Linked DNA regions of Rattus norvegicus. The protein of the gene in region 1 interacts with the protein of each later gene in a biochemical or structural test. Links are inferred from orthologs where the notes say so. Each region holds a gene or a part of one and is shown on either strand. Other genes may lie near its edges. The genes, in order: Nppb, Npr3, Npr1 and Npr2.

Evidence for each region.
Region 2: the proteins of Nppb (region 1) and Npr3 form a complex in vitro, tested with the Homo sapiens proteins (4 studies listed by BioGRID, with this or other methods). The link is inferred for Rattus norvegicus from reciprocal best matches to the Homo sapiens genes NPPB and NPR3.
Region 3: the proteins of Nppb (region 1) and Npr1 form a complex in vitro, tested with the Homo sapiens proteins (2 studies listed by BioGRID). The link is inferred for Rattus norvegicus from reciprocal best matches to the Homo sapiens genes NPPB and NPR1.
Region 4: the proteins of Nppb (region 1) and Npr2 form a complex in vitro, tested with the Homo sapiens proteins (3 studies listed by BioGRID). The link is inferred for Rattus norvegicus from reciprocal best matches to the Homo sapiens genes NPPB and NPR2.

The regions. Positions count from the first base shown.
Region 1 is NC_086023.1:163,698,368-163,702,030, forward strand, and holds Nppb (natriuretic peptides B precursor), read left to right. Parts: upstream 1-1,640; 5' UTR 1,641-1,697; coding exon 1,698-1,823; intron 1,824-2,045; coding exon 2,046-2,268; intron 2,269-2,721; coding exon 2,722-2,738; 3' UTR 2,739-2,943; downstream 2,944-3,663.
Region 2 is NC_086020.1:62,596,745-62,599,897, forward strand, and holds the end of Npr3 (atrial natriuretic peptide receptor 3 precursor), read right to left. Parts: intron 2,186-3,153; coding exon of another isoform or gene 2,183-2,185; coding exon 2,098-2,182; intron 1,132-2,097; coding exon 1,020-1,131; 3' UTR 924-1,019; downstream 1-923. UniProt on the Homo sapiens protein: Receptor for the natriuretic peptide hormones, binding with similar affinities atrial natriuretic peptide NPPA/ANP, brain natriuretic peptide NPPB/BNP, and C-type natriuretic peptide NPPC/CNP.
Region 3 is NC_086020.1:178,236,770-178,240,824, forward strand, and holds part of Npr1 (atrial natriuretic peptide receptor 1 precursor), read right to left. Parts: coding exon 4,038-4,055; intron 3,486-4,037; coding exon 3,411-3,485; intron 3,201-3,410; coding exon 3,123-3,200; intron 2,824-3,122; coding exon 2,719-2,823; intron 2,507-2,718; exon of another isoform or gene 2,479-2,506; coding exon 2,407-2,478; intron 2,310-2,406; coding exon 2,153-2,309; intron 1,681-2,152; coding exon 1,525-1,680; intron 1,283-1,524; coding exon 1,114-1,282; intron 259-1,113; coding exon 112-258; intron 1-111. UniProt on the Homo sapiens protein: Receptor for the atrial natriuretic peptide NPPA/ANP and the brain natriuretic peptide NPPB/BNP which are potent vasoactive hormones playing a key role in cardiovascular homeostasis.
Region 4 is NC_086023.1:62,685,352-62,689,406, reverse strand, and holds part of Npr2 (atrial natriuretic peptide receptor 2 precursor), read right to left. Parts: intron 2,438-4,055; coding exon 2,324-2,437; intron 2,032-2,323; coding exon 1,896-2,031; intron 1,674-1,895; coding exon 1,579-1,673; intron 1,409-1,578; coding exon 1,276-1,408; exon of another isoform or gene 1,272-1,275; intron 1,049-1,271; coding exon 964-1,048; intron 1-963. UniProt on the Homo sapiens protein: Receptor for the C-type natriuretic peptide NPPC/CNP hormone. Has guanylate cyclase activity upon binding of its ligand. May play a role in the regulation of skeletal growth.

The DNA.
Region 1 (3,663 bases):
GCTCCTGCCACAGGCAATGCTGATAGAAGTGTAGACAGTGGGAACCTATCTCAGAGGAGAGATGGGATCTATCAGGAACTTGGCTGGGAGCCACTTGTATGACATGTTGGCCAAGAATCTGACTTCATTCTGCCTGTGTCCTGAGAATTTACTGAAACTGATGTGGGGATGGTAGGCTAATTTGTTCCTCAGAGGGAAATTGTGTGAGAAGGGTTAGGGGTTTGAGTGCTTCGTACTGGGACTTCAAGTCTTAAAAATGCAAATTCACATACAAGAAAGCTGCAGCTAAGAATGAAGCTGGGGGTGGTTCTCTGCCCCTTGAAAACAATAGCTTAGGAGAGAGTGTGTCTCCCTTGGGTCAGAACACAGAACCTCACATAAACAGGGGTCCAAGAAGCCCCGAGGCTTGCAGAAGAACCTGACAGCTTTCTCCAAATGTGACTGGTTTGGGGCTCATGACCTTCTAACTATCCCCTTTCTCTATCTCTACCTTAACCCACTGCCACTCCTGGTCACTGCCCTTGACCAACCTGACCCTTGTGAACATAGATTCTGCAGAAGGGATAGTGACATTGGCCACACACCTGGGTGTATACCCCACAGCCTCATTTCCTCAGAGTCTCATTTCTCACCTGAGTGGGAGACTGGGTGTGCGAGGGAGAAGTCACTCATGGCTGATCAGCTGAGAGCTGGGAAGAGGCCCTTCCCACATGTCTGGTGTCTAGGCACCCTTTCTCTTTCACTCGTGGTGTGGGAGGGGACATTGGCACCTGGAGATGCCCCAGAAGGCATTGCTGTGTGACCTTGTCTTTGGGCCAGGATGAAAATTCTATCCTAATCAGCTCTCTTTTGTTAAGGGGCTGGAGTTCCAGAAGTTCCTTGCCATTTACCAGCTTTTAGTCATTTGAATATTGGAGAGTGAGCATCTTTGAGCTGAAATCTTCACAGGGTTTTGAGGGGTGGGGAGTACTGGAAGGTGGGGCAGGGTATCAGAGTGGTTGCGTGAGCCACCTAGCTCCTTCTGGCCTGGAGATCAGTGGAGAAGAGAACTTGAAAGTTTGTGTGAAGGTCACGTGTGGTGATCAGAACCATGGACAGCTACCAGAGTGCCCGGAAGTGGTGCAGCCCGGCCCTACAGCTAGATGCTTGGTAGCCGGGCAGGGCCTGGATTACAGGTTCGAGGACACTCTCCCAGAGAGGCTGGTGATGGTGGGTGCTAACTGGAAGTGTTTTTGATGAGTCACCCCATAAGCCCCACACCCGCCCCAGGCTGGGAAAACTGGGGTTCTCCCTGTCATTTCCAATACGGGTGGGGCACGGTATTAAAGGCCCTCAGGTTTTGCATGATAGAAGGGAGCAGGAAACAAGGACCTGTTAGTGTCCCCCACACACTCCCACCCTAGCCCAGCCCATGCCTATACAAGGCCTGCGGTTTATAGCCTCCACCCACAACGAACACTCCACAGAGGCACAGAGGGGTGAATTCTCAGGTCCTGAGCTCAGCAGGCAGGAATGTGTCTGATAAATCAGAGATAACCCCACCCCTACTCCATGAGAAGGGCTGGCCGGACACCCAGCCCCAGGATAAAAGGCAGAGGCACCGTTGCTGAGAGGCTAGTGCACGCGAGCTGCTTGCGGAGGCGAGACAAGAGAGAGCAGGACACCATCGCAGCTGCCTGGCCCATCACTTCTGCAGCATGGATCTCCAGAAGGTGCTGCCCCAGATGATTCTGCTCCTGCTTTTCCTTAATCTGTCGCCGCTGGGAGGTCACTCCCATCCCCTGGGAAGTCCTAGCCAGTCTCCAGAACAATCCACGATGCAGGTGAGCACCGAGGGTCTGCATAGGGAGATGGAGCCTGCCTGAAGGGTTTTGGGCAGCAGCAATGAAAAGACCTCATGTCCTTTGGGAATTAACCACGCGAGAGTCAGGAAACGGAAAGATTGGGCAGCAGATCCCTTAACCGACAGGCACTGTGGAAGGGTGGGGGAGCCAGGTGTGTATGTGTGTGTGTGTCTGAGGTCTGGGCTTCCCAATTCGTCACAGAAGCTGCTGGAGCTGATAAGAGAAAAGTCAGAGGAAATGGCTCAGAGACAGCTCTCAAAGGACCAAGGCCCTACAAAAGAACTTCTAAAAAGAGTCCTTAGGTCTCAAGACAGCGCCTTCCGGATCCAGGAGAGACTTCGAAATTCCAAGATGGCACATAGTTCAAGCTGCTTTGGGCAGAAGATAGACCGGATTGGCGCAGTCAGTCGTTTGGGCTGTGACGGTGAGCACCTACCTTGCCGCTTCCCTGCAAAGCTGCACGCATCCCGTTCCCCTGCATGCCGCCCTCAGAGGCCCCTTGGTTTGCTCTCAGACATACTTGCACAGCCTGCCTCTACCTTACCGACAGTCTTCAAGACCAAGGCAGTCTGTCAGGAAGTCTCACATGGGTACTTCATTACACCGTCCCAGGTGAGCACCTACCTCCTTCAGAGGTGTCACAGGCTTCCCAGGGAACAGACTGCCTGATGTCTGATCACTCTGAGCATCTCCCCTCCGTCTTCACCAAACTGAATTATCCGAGGCAAAGGGCAGGCCCAGTGAGATAGCTTTTCCCAGAGCCGTTAAACTTCGACATCATCTGGGAACCAAAGATGGGGGTGCGGTGTGGCAGGGGAAGCTCAGCTCCTGCCTCAGTTTCACTCCCCAGTCTGACACTGGTTTCTCCTCCCCACAGGGCTGAGGTTGTTTTAGGAAGACCTCCTGGCTGCAGACTCTGGCTTCTGACTCTGCCTGCGGCTCTTCTTTCCCCAGCTCTGGGACCACCTCTCAAGTGATCCTGTTTATTTATTTGTTTATTTATTTATTTTTATGTTGCTGATTTTCTACAAGACTGTTTCTTATCTTCCAGCACAAACTTGCCACAGTGTAATAAACATAGCCTATTTCTTGCTTTTGGAAAAGGATTTGTGTCCATGAGTTTCAATCCAATCCTCATCTCTTTTACTTTGCTTTTGTTTACTTTGGCTTCAGGCAGGGTCTCTCTATATCATAGACCTGGCTCTCGGGGTAACTCACTCTGTAGACCAGGCTGGCCTCAGACTCACAGAGATCCACCTGCCTCTCCCAACAGAGTGCAGGGATTTAGGGTATGTGCCACCACTGCCCAGCTGAAACGCTGTCCTTCCAATGCCATGTGTCACTTAAGCGCAGCTGAGGGCTAAAGGTCCCCATGATCAGTAAGGTCATGATTGTCACCCGCATTTTTTAAGTGAGGAAACTGAAAATCAGAAAAGCCGGGAATCCTGGGACATGAGGCACAGCTGGCACATCTGCCCTCCCTGGCTTGAGCAGAGGTCTGCACAGTGTCTAGTGGAGTGAGAGGGGAACAAGAGGTAGCTCTTCCTGCGATTTCTCATTTCCCTCCAGTGTGCACTCAAGGTTGTGGATGTCTGATGAAAGCAATGAGGATTTGTTTTAAAGTGAGGTTGAAAGAGTAGCTTAGTTTCCAAGCATCCATGAGTCATCTTCAGACGCTTCCAATGCAGACTCAATGAGTTCCTAGAACAGTTGGTGTGCACAAAGCCCTGGTTAACAAGGCAGGCACAGTACCATCAGCTGGGACAGTCCCTTGTGACTCTGAGAAGAAACTGAGCACCTCCACAGGGAGGAAGGGAAA
Region 2 (3,153 bases), on another chromosome or scaffold:
TAGTTCAGAAGGGATGTAGCCCTCCAATAACATACATTTTAAAGCGGTCGAAAATGAACAACAGCTTAACATCAATCTAATGCTTCAGATACTGTAAGCTCAACAGACTTCTCCCCATCTTCAGTCAGAGCAGCGAGGTTAGTATTAGCCACAGCCAAGAAAGAGAACAGCAGAGAAAAAGAGAACCAGTCCTCCCTCACCACAGATTTGTCACACGCCTCCTCCATGCTCTTAAAATATAAGTGAAATTTAATCTTCAAAATGAAAAAATAGACACATTTCTAATACCAAAATATAAGATTAAAATACTTAAAAATAAAATGTTAGTATGAAGTAGGGCTTTTTTTTACATCATAAAAGAAACATTTTAGACTGATTTTTTTATATAAATCCACCTAACTCACTAGTATTTACAGATTTCCAGAGTAGCTTTGATGAGACACTAAAAGAGACAGGGAGGATCCTTTCTTGAGATATGAAGTCAGACCTGAATGTGGACGTTGGACGAAGCCCTCGGCAACCACAAACCTGTTCCCCAACTCCAGAGAGAGGGGCATGCATTCCCAGCCTTGAGATTTCTCTCATTCCTTTGTCCTCTTATTGGGTGTTAAATTCTTTCCAAGAATATTCTACTTGTAAAAATTGTTTTATTCTAGCTACAAAACATTTCATTTTGGAAAAACCACATTTTTATAACCTTGTGTGAAATACCCCCAAAGCAATCAAGATATGGAGACTCCAGACTTTCGAGACATAAATCTACTCCGATGCCCCTCCAACAGCCAGAACACTTAACAGGATTACGTTATATAATTATATCTGTTTGCCATGAGATGAAAGACCAGAAGGCAGATAGTGATTAATAATCATTCCTGAGCTTCTAAAGAAAATTTAAAATGAAATGACTACTGCTTAAAAGAATGAATTCTCCAAGAACACCCTTTCTGTTCCATTGATGTCTGTCCTTCAACTATCTCTTTAAGGAATCTCAAGCAGACAAAGCAAGGGGGGCATTTCTTTTAAGCCACCGAAAAATGTGATCTGATGGAATCTTCCCGCAGCTCTCGATGTTTCCCAATGTTGCTTTCTTCTTGGTGATTTCGCCTCTCAATGGTTATTCTGTATTTCTTCCTGGGTAAAGGCAAAACAAATGTAATAATAAAACCTCACTTGACTATAAAATACTATGGTTCCTCTTACAAAGAGTGCCCTCCAGGGACATCTGGGTTAGGTTTGATAAATGACTAGTGACACAATATGAAACCCTGGTTGGAGATTAAAGTAGTGTGCCCCCAAGGCATCATGTCCTTATTCAGGGAGGAAAATTGGCATGCTTTCTGAAATGCCAGAGGACAAGCCTTCCCCTTCTTCCTAGGAGCCTTATCTATTCTGCCCCAGAATCTCAGCTTGACTCCCAGGATATGACCCCAGATAAAGATCAGACTAAGTGTACTGTGACTAAAGGGACAGGAACTCGATTGTTCCCACAAAGAGCTACATACACTCGGACATACATCTCCATGCAAAAATGAAGAAACATTACAAATAAACCATGACGATTTATAACGACCCATGAATTCAACTACCGAAGATGACAACAGGATGGGCCACTGTCACTGCAGCAAAGGACTGAAATCTTGCACACATGTGTACATTGTAAGTTTATGAGCCTTGACGTTAAGACACAACAACAGCTACGAATGTGACTTCTCCAAATACAGGACACACTGCAGGGATCACAGACCACCGGGAGCTCTTTTCAAGGGAACTTGTTCTAAATCAAAGGAAGCCTGAGAATAGGAAGTTCATTCTTTGTCCAGATCTCCTCCTTGTGATTGTATTTGATAGGTCGAAGGGACTCTCAAAAATAGATCAATGATCCAGGGATCCCAACCACTTTCTAGCAAGTGCCATAGGAATCCAAAACTCACTGCCTGCCAAACCCAAGATGGAGCCAAAGAACCGCTTTAGTAATTTAACCATCATCCTTCTTGTTTAAAAGAAGGGTGTGGGCCAATCACACGGAGCGTTATACAAAGACAGGAGACAAAGGCATAAAGGGGCAGAGTGAATTTTAACTCCATAAACAGTCCCTACCTGAAAAAGTAGAAGGCCATTAGCAAACCAGCACCTAGTAGGGCCCCCACAACAATTCCTGTCACTGCTGATTCTTCTAGGCCACCTGCTTGAAAAGAAACATCAATAATCAGAGCTCATTTTGAGAAATGAGTAAAAGTACTTTTGATTTTTGCTCATCTCCCATTTGAAACTAATTTTCCTCTTTGCGATATATGTATAATATATATTGTAACATATTGTACATGATTTATATATAATATTTATATATTATATGAAATATATAATGTAAAATATGTATGTCTAATGTTCTGAGAAAAGGTTTTCAGAAAATACTAAATAAACGCACTGTGGCGTGAGAGTGAACAGACCAAGGTCAGAACAAGTTCAAAACTGGACCCGGGACAAACACCAGTCAGCCTAGCACTTGGGAAGATGAGGCAGAGGCTCTCAAGTTTGAAGCCAGCCTGAACCACATAGCAAGATCTATGACAGGGAAGGAGAATGGAGGGAACAAAGGGGATGGGAGAAAAGATAGATAAAGAGAATAAAAGATGGAGAAAGAGACAGGCTCAAGATGCACTTGATGAAAGCTGCAAACTGAAGATCTCAGACATAACCATCCTGGTTTTGAGTTTAAAGTCGAAGATGCATGAATGGACAGAGGCGATGGCCTGCACTTGTCTCCCTCAGGTGGGTGACAGTGACACTTCAATGGTGACACTTCAAAAGTCCGGGGGAAATTGCACTGGGTCAGTATTCTGTTTTCAGATGTTCTCTCACCAGAGCCAGAGTTCCATCCCAAATGTCCTATATAGCTTTGTGAAAATGTAAACCTTAAATCCTTCTCAGTAGGATCTCAGTTCCCAAAAAGTCAACAGCTATTTTCCTTTCAGAGTTTAGAATAAGCTTGCAGTGCATGGACTCCTTGGCTCCTCGGGTGACAGCTGGGTAAATTCCCTTTACATGTGGGAAATGTGAGAGTTGGCAGGTTGTAGGGAGTCTACTAGGGTCCCCAAATTGGCAAGAAGGAAAGTGAGATGTGGGATCCAGACCTAGCAATTATATAGTCAACAC
Region 3 (4,055 bases), on another chromosome or scaffold:
TATATGTTTATATGCGTGTGTGTGTGTGTGTGTGTGTGTATGTGTGTGTGTGTGTGTGTGCGCGCACGCGCACGCTCATAGGCATGCATGTGTGCAGAACTTAGAACTCACTGAGGCAGAATCTGGTAAAGCAAGGCCTCAGCTTTGCGCTTCTCCTCCAGATAAGCTTGTGTTCTCTCCTCTACCAGTTCCTCCAGGTTGTTAGCATACTGCTCCATGCGTGACAGCAGGTTGTCCAGGATGTTGCTGCTGTTCTCCCTGAGGGCCGTGGGGTACAGGGGGGCAGATGAAATGAGATGACTGGTCCTGCCTGGCAGTGCCCACACTCAGGCACTCACCATGCCCGGCCCCACCCTTAGAGACACGGTCTCTCTAAGTAGTTATAGCTGGATCTGTTCACATTATCAGGTATTTTAGGTGAAAGGAACAGCTGGCCTTGAACCCATAGATATCCACCTGCTTCTATGCCCAGCTGGGTACCTTTTTTTTTTTTTTTTTAAGATTTATTTATTTATTTCATGTATGTGAGCACACTGTCGTGGTCTTCAGACACACCAGAAGAGGGCATTCAGATGGTTAGGAGCCACCATGTGGTTGCTGGGAATTGAACTCAGGACCTCTGGAAGAGCAGTCAGTGCTCTTAACCGTTAAGCCATCACTCCAGTCCCCATGCTGGATACTATATTTATTCTTATTGATCACAAATGAGTTTGAAGGAGGTGGAGAGCTGAGGACGATGACAGGCAGCAGAGAAACATGACTGAGAGAACCAGCCAGTGGGCATACTAGAAAAAAGAGACACAAGGACTGGGGTAGGAGCTTTTGAGCAGGACTGAGACTATGGGAAGAAATGGGAAAGGATTGGAGCATCTGGCCCATATAGTCTTATTTATCTTAAGTCTGGGGGTCAGTACAGGGCTGTGGGCAGGAAAGGGTGTGGGATGTCAATGTTGGCAGAGGAAGGAGTAGTGAATGGTGGGAGCTGTTGGGACAACCAAATCATACAGCTGTGCAGACATCTATGAGGCTGTGAAGAGCTGCAGTAGGCTGCCACTGTAGAAAAAAATTTAAGTGTGGGATTTATAGTGCCTGTAGTGGGGAGAGACCACTAACTTGTTGAACTTGCGCAGCGCCAGGCGGATCTGCTGAAAGGGTGGCCGCTCCTGTGGGTCCTCTGCCCAGCACCGCTGCATCAGCTGCCCCAGTTCCTCCAGGTGGCTCTGCAGATCCATGGAGGGTCGGAATGGGGGCTGCTCACCCCGAGTCACACGCTCAATGATCTCTGTGTGGAAGGGGGATGCGCTGAAGAGCAGCAAGCCTAGTTGGGCAACCGGCTGGGACAGGCAGGTGGGGCGAGTCCAGACCAGAGCACAGGGGTGAGCTGGTCACTGGCAGCCATGGCGCAAAGGACAGCGAGTGGCTGACTCCCCACTCCAGAAGGAACAGTAGGGGTGTTTGGAGAGGTTCCTTCTCTGGAGGTGGATTCGTCAAGACCAGCTGGGATATAGGCCATGTGATCCTCACCTTTTGGGCTGAGGTCCAAACCTTCCACATAGAAGACCCCACTTCTTAGGGCAATCTCCTGCAGGATGATACCAAAGCTGTACACATCCCCAGCTTGGGAGCCACGGGCAGGTGGCGAAGCCATTCGCAGGAGCTCAGGTGCCGTCCACAATTTTTCTGTGGATCAGAGGTCAGGAGTCATAGAAGGGATAAGGGATTTTACACTCTAATAGGAAATGCTACAATAAAAGAAAGACATTGGCTAGGACTCCTGTGGACACAGCACAGTGCTGAGAACCAGTGACCACTTAGTCTGACTTCCTTTTTAACCAATGAAGGTTGAGCATGGAGATGGGAGATATACTCAAGTCTTGCAGAGGCTAGATCTCAGTGTCCCTTCTCAGCTGTGCTGGCAGCAGAGATCCTAGGGTCAAGAGTCAGACTCACAGGGCTGGAGAGATGGCTCAGTGGTTAAGAGCACCGACTGCTCTTCCGGAGGTCCTGAGTTCAAATCCCAGCAACCACATGGTGGCTCACAACCATCCATAATGAGATTTGATGCCCTCTTCTGTTGTGTCTGAAGACAGCTACAGTGTACTTATATATAATAAATAAATCTTAAAAAAAAAAAAAAAAGAGTCAGACTCACTGGCAAAGAGGGTGTGCCCTTGCTCTGGCTCCGGGTCTCTGAAGCTCTCAAGACCGTAGTCTGTGATCTTTAACACGAAGCGCCCGTCTACCACACAGTTGGATGACTTGAGGTTCCCATGGGAACAAATGGCCCCATTGTGTAGAAAGAGCATTCCCTGGAACATTTAGGAAGGCAAGAGGGCTTAGACATGAGTATGACTTCCAACCATGCCCATCTCTTGCCTGGCATCCAGTGATCTCCTCTGGACTCACCTTGACAATGTCATTGGTGAGCGAGTACCGAAACATCCAGTCCAGGGTGATACTCTCATTCTCTAGAATGTCCTGCTGGGGCAGCAAGAGTCAGACCCCCCTGGGAGTAGGAGGAGGGTACAAGGGAGCTACTGGTGTAAGCTTGGACACTTGGATTTACTGTAGTGCCATGCCAGCCCCCAACTCCCATTTACAGAGAGGGCCAAGCATGGCCACAAAGAGGGGGCTTATCTGGGCTCATGGTCAATGGGGTAAGAGCCAGGGCTAGAACCTAGGCTTTTTCACTGTCCCACTTCTTCTTGTCCCACTCACCTGTAGGCTTCCACGGGGACAGTACTCTGTGAGGATACAGATGTTGGGGGGGTCGGTACAAGCACCCACAAATCTTGTCAAGTGCTCATTCTGCACATCCCGCATCTGCAGATTGGGGCAGCATCAAGGCCCTGGCAGAGGCTTCAAACCTCACCAAGTCACATGTTTGTTACCATTCTTTCTCAGAATTTGCTCCCTAACCCTTTATTTCCTGTACATGTGAGGACAACCCATCTGGGGCCTGGAGGGCCCAGTGATCTCTCATCTTATGACCGATCTCCTTCCTACCCTCAAGACTCATGGGCCCATCCCAGCTGTATAGATCCCTCCATAATCAGTTGGCTTACTCTCTTGGAGTACCCACCAAGCCCTTCCCAAGCCACCACCTTGCTCCCCTTAATTACATGTTTAAGTTCAAACAGGACTTTTCGTGTCAACTCAATGCGTTTCCGGTTCACACGTTTCACAGCCACAAGGTTGCCCTGAGCAGGAAATGGAGACTTATTACTCAGGAGATGGCCCGAGACCCCAATCTGCTTCTGAAACCCATCCATGACAGCAGTTCTCTACCTGCTTCTAAAAGCCCATCCTTGCCCTGGGACTACCCCTGTTCCCTGGCAGGCTACCATCTCTTATTCTTCAGACCACACTCCACCAGGGGCCCAAGATCAGCAATCTTTCCCCAGACCTACCTTATAGTATGCTGTCTTGGCAAAGACTTGGAACTGGCCCTCGGTGGTTAGCAGGGAGCCATAATTGGAGCCTCGCTACAGAGAGAAACAATAGTCATCTATTGGCCAGCCCAGAGGTCATTCTGCATCCTGGAAGTTCTAGGTTCAGTCACACTGTCCCTTATCTGTGTCACCCTCCAGAGATAGGGTCTTACTCTTTAGCTCAGGCTGCCCTGGAACTTGTAGCAGTGCCCCAGACTCACCCTCCCAGGCTAGGATTGATTGCAGGTGTGAGTCACCAATGCTAGCTCCCACCCTCCTTTATGTATTTACTTAGACTATCTTCCTTCGAGCTTTGAGAGAGCCTTGTTACAGAGGCTGTAACTATAACCCTCATCTAAGACAATGTCAGGGTAAGCAAGTGAAGGCAGAACTGGGGGTAGACCTATTCTTTTGTTTGGTTTTGGTTTTACAAGACGGGGTCCCATTCTGTAGCACAGGCTTGCCTCAGACCTACAGCAATCTTTCCATATTAACCTCCCAAGTCCTGGGTCCAGGTGAGTCACCTCATCTAGAAGCAGCTTCTACTAACTCATCAGCCCTTGGGACTCAGCTATTCCCATCCTACAGAGACAATGGTGTCCTCACCCCACTCAGGGTCAGCCG
Region 4 (4,055 bases), about 100 Mb from region 1:
ACCCCAGCCTACAGCTAAGTCAGGACATCCAGTCTGTGACGACACAGTGAAACATTTCTTTCCACAAATCAGGACGTGCACCCTCACCACACATAGAATTTTTTGGTGACTTGGTCTCAGATTTCCCAAGTGAAAATGCCTTGCACTTCAGTGGGAATGAGGTGAGGAAGGAGAAGGGGGGGGGGAGACGACACACAACCAGTGCATAGAAATTCACCTTTGACCCTAACTCTACCCAAAATCAGTACTCCAGGGCTGAAACGAGCCTAAGTGGTCAGGGGCACCTGTTGCTCTTCCAGGAGACCTAAGTTCAATTTCAAGCACCCATCCTGGGACAGCTCACAACCACCTGTAACTTAGGCTCCAGAAGAGCTGATGGGTTTCTTCTGGCCTCTATAGGCACCCATACATGTGTGTGGGTGGCATACATTTACACAGGAGAGATATAAATAGAAACAATTTTTTTAAAAATTCGAATTCAGAGCTAGGCACGGTAGAGGAGATTTTTAATCCCAGCACTTCAAAGACAGAGGTAGGCAAATCCCTGAGAATTTCAGGGGCAGCCTGGTCTCCACAGTGGTTTCCAGACAGGCCAGTTCTACAGTGAAACTTTATCTCAAACAAAATCCCAGTATTCAAGCAAGGCACCATGACGCACGTCCGTGAGTGTGGGGAAGTAGAATCTTGAGTGCATGGCCAGTCTAGGCTATTTAGCAAGACCTTATCTCAAAACAAACACAACGGCAACAAGAACAAAACAATTCATTTACCCAGGTTACAAACCAAAGCAAAATAAATCCCTAGGATGAAGGGCAACCAAATCCAAAGGCCAGAGAGAAAGCTGCTAGTCCCAGAATCCCACACCAGGTTGGGAGACTTGCCAGCCACACAACAGGGACACCTGCCTCAGCCAGAGGCCATGTAGCAAGAGGGACACACGGAGTAGGAAAACCCAGAACTCACCGGAAAATTAGGAAGCTGGAAACACCAAACATGATGAAAGTGATTCCCGTGCCCAGGGCCACAATTGCCAGAGTGGAAAGTGGAGCTGAGGGAGAAGGAGAGAGAGACAGAGAGACCCTGAGAAAGACTGGAGGGGGCCCAAGGGCAAAGAGACAGGTGCAGGAGGTACAGAGCTTTCCTGAGGGACAGAGAAGAGAGCGGCAGACACAGATAATACACAGCCAGGAGTGGGAATGGGTGTCAGTGAGGAAGGGGCAGAGCGCGGGGGCGGGGTAAGAGGGGGGACTGCTCCCAGTCCCTGCACACACCCACTTTTATCACAGGATGGGTCGTCCAAGTCAAAGGCACAGGGGGGGTTGTCCAAAGGTGGGGCCCCCTTCACCCAGGGAATTGGCCGGCCTGTCCACCAAATCTGCTTCTCAGCTCCTGAGTAATGGGCTGCAGGCTGTGAGGAAGCAGAGCGCTGGGCCCACAGGCCTGCCCCAGCCTTCTCCCTGACACCCCACCGTCCGGAAGGCCCAGCCCAGGAAGCAAGCTCCTGTCCCCCAGAGCCGATGATTCTGTCCCCACTGGATCTTAGGGCCAATCCCTCCTCCCTGTCCTCTCCCCCGTCACCTGAAAGTCGCCAGACTCCAAGTCTCCCATGGCCCACAGGACGAAATCAGTCTCTCTGTCATTGTTCTTGTCCATAACAACCAGTCCAGTTACACCTAAGATAAAAGAGGGTGCCCCTCACTTTTGAGATCTAACCCTGGCCCACTCTCTCCTCCTGTCCTACCATCTCGTTGTCTCAGAGTCTCTCCCCACACTGGTTCTTCGTAAGTGTCCACCCTCACTGACTCTCCCTGCAGCACCCTGGAGTATTTCTTCTGCCCACCGCACTCCTAAGCCTGCTGTCAGTCCCCAGGCCTCCACTCCCTGCCCTTCATTACCATGGTATCTTCGTCCCTGCATCTTCTCCACAATTCGAAGTCCATCTTCCCGGGTGCCCCCTTCCTGTATTGTCTCATTCAGGACTTGGGCATAGAGCAGGATTCCATCATAGAAGCAGCCCGCAATGAGGTTCATCTGAGGACAGCAACTTCAGCAGCGCTCTCCAAATGCCCCCTTCCCGTTCTCTCTTCTACTCCTGCCCTGTCCCAGTGCCTCCCCACTTTCTCAGCTTACCGCCCTCCTCCCACCCCTACCATGCCCTCCCCATCCACCCGGACCCAGGGTTGGTCCAAGGGTCAGTCCCACGGTTGGAAGGGTAAAATCCTGGATGGAAATGACAGCCTGAAATGGGGCTTGCTCCATGATCAAGGACTCCAGGAGAAATCCCTTCCTCACAGCCTGTTGTGACTCTCAGAGATCTACTCACCAGGGATGGGGCCAGCTCCACGCCGAAGTCTTCCCGGGCTCTGATCAGCAGGCGGTTCTGGAACTCCTGATACTCGGGATTCGGGGGCTCTCGGTACGTGATCACCAGGACAGTCTGCACCACAGTACACGGGGAAGAGATCGCATAGGAGAACTGGCTAAAACCACACGCGGGTAACACATGCACGAGGGAGGGGTTCTGGAGCGCGCCAAACTCTGGGGTGCGTATGAAAATGAGTAGTGGCGCCCCTCTATGAAAGACAGGTAGGGCTGGCTCTGGAAACGTGTCCGTAGGATGAAACCAACTCCATCTACAAACTCAGTCCATCGACCTCCCTGCCTCCCTTCCAGCATCAGGCCTCCTGCCAGGCTGTCACTCTCATGGGCACTCCTCTGCCCCACACTTTCAAGGTACCCACCACTATCAAGAACAACCACCACTCTGTGGCCAGGCGTTGGTGACACACGCCCTTGATGCCAGCACTCAGGCGGCAGAGGTGGGCAGATCTGGTGAGTTCCATCCCAGCCAGGGCTACAGTTCCGTCCCAGCAGCATTAAATGCTGATGGTGTCATCCACTAAAAGTTGGCTTTTCCCACAGCGGGTCACCGGTTCAGAGTGACTCTCTCAGTGAATTAGATTTCAAACCCTGAGAGAAATGCTTTGAGAAGGTGATTCCATCTCTGAGAAACATGAATTTAACTTACTGTGCACACAGGAAACATCCACTGTAGACAGCATGCTCACCGAGAGGCACGTGTGTCATGTGAGCCACGTGCCCACACACACTGCACAGACACACAAATGATGGTTTCAGCCACACATGCACTTGACTGACACGAATCACCACATCCCTGTCCCTCATTAAACTGCCTGACTAGCTCCTTTGAGTCTCATATACCCCCTTCCGTAGCTGTAAGGGGTATCCAACCTGGGACCACGCAGCTAAATGAGACTGCTCTGACAGGAAACTGGACTTGCAACTCAGTGTAAGAGATCAATTCAATATCCTTTGTGACATACGACTCTGTGTAAATCAATAGATCAAAATCCGCCATTTCAAGCTGGGTATGCTGGCTCACATCTGTTATCTCAGAACTCAAGAGGCTGAGGCAGAAGTTAGGCTATAAGAACAAGGCCAGCGGGTTGGGGATTTAGCTCAGTGGTAGAGCGCTTGCCTAGGAAGCGCAAGGCCCTGGGTTCGGTCCCCAGCTTGGGGGGGGGGGGAAGAACCAAAAAAAAAAAAAAAAAGAACAAGGCCAGCCTTGTCTACACAGTGAGTTCCAGACCAATCACTGCTCCATAGCAAGACCCCCATCTCAAAATCTGGCCATTTCTACCAGCTTTGCTTCTTCTCAGCACAGAAAGCACATGTGGACCACACAGACATACTCAATATATCACCTGTGATCTATCAATTTGTTCCAGGAAAGAAATCATAAAATCCATTTCTAGCATGCAGTCGTCATATTAAACCGGAGTTTTCTTACTATGGGACTGGCATGCTTGATGGTACCCTTTTAATATTCACACCCAGGCAAGAGAAAGGAAAGGAGAAAAAGAGAAGGGAAGCCCTAGGGGGAGGGAAGACAGGAAGTGCCCCTGGGGTCAGGCTAAAAGGGTTCCTTCACTAACACCTGTTCCAATAGAGATGTATGGTAGTGTTGACAAGTGACATGGTCAAGCCAAGAGTCGAAAAAACATCAGAGTAGCACAATTTGTACTTCAACAAAG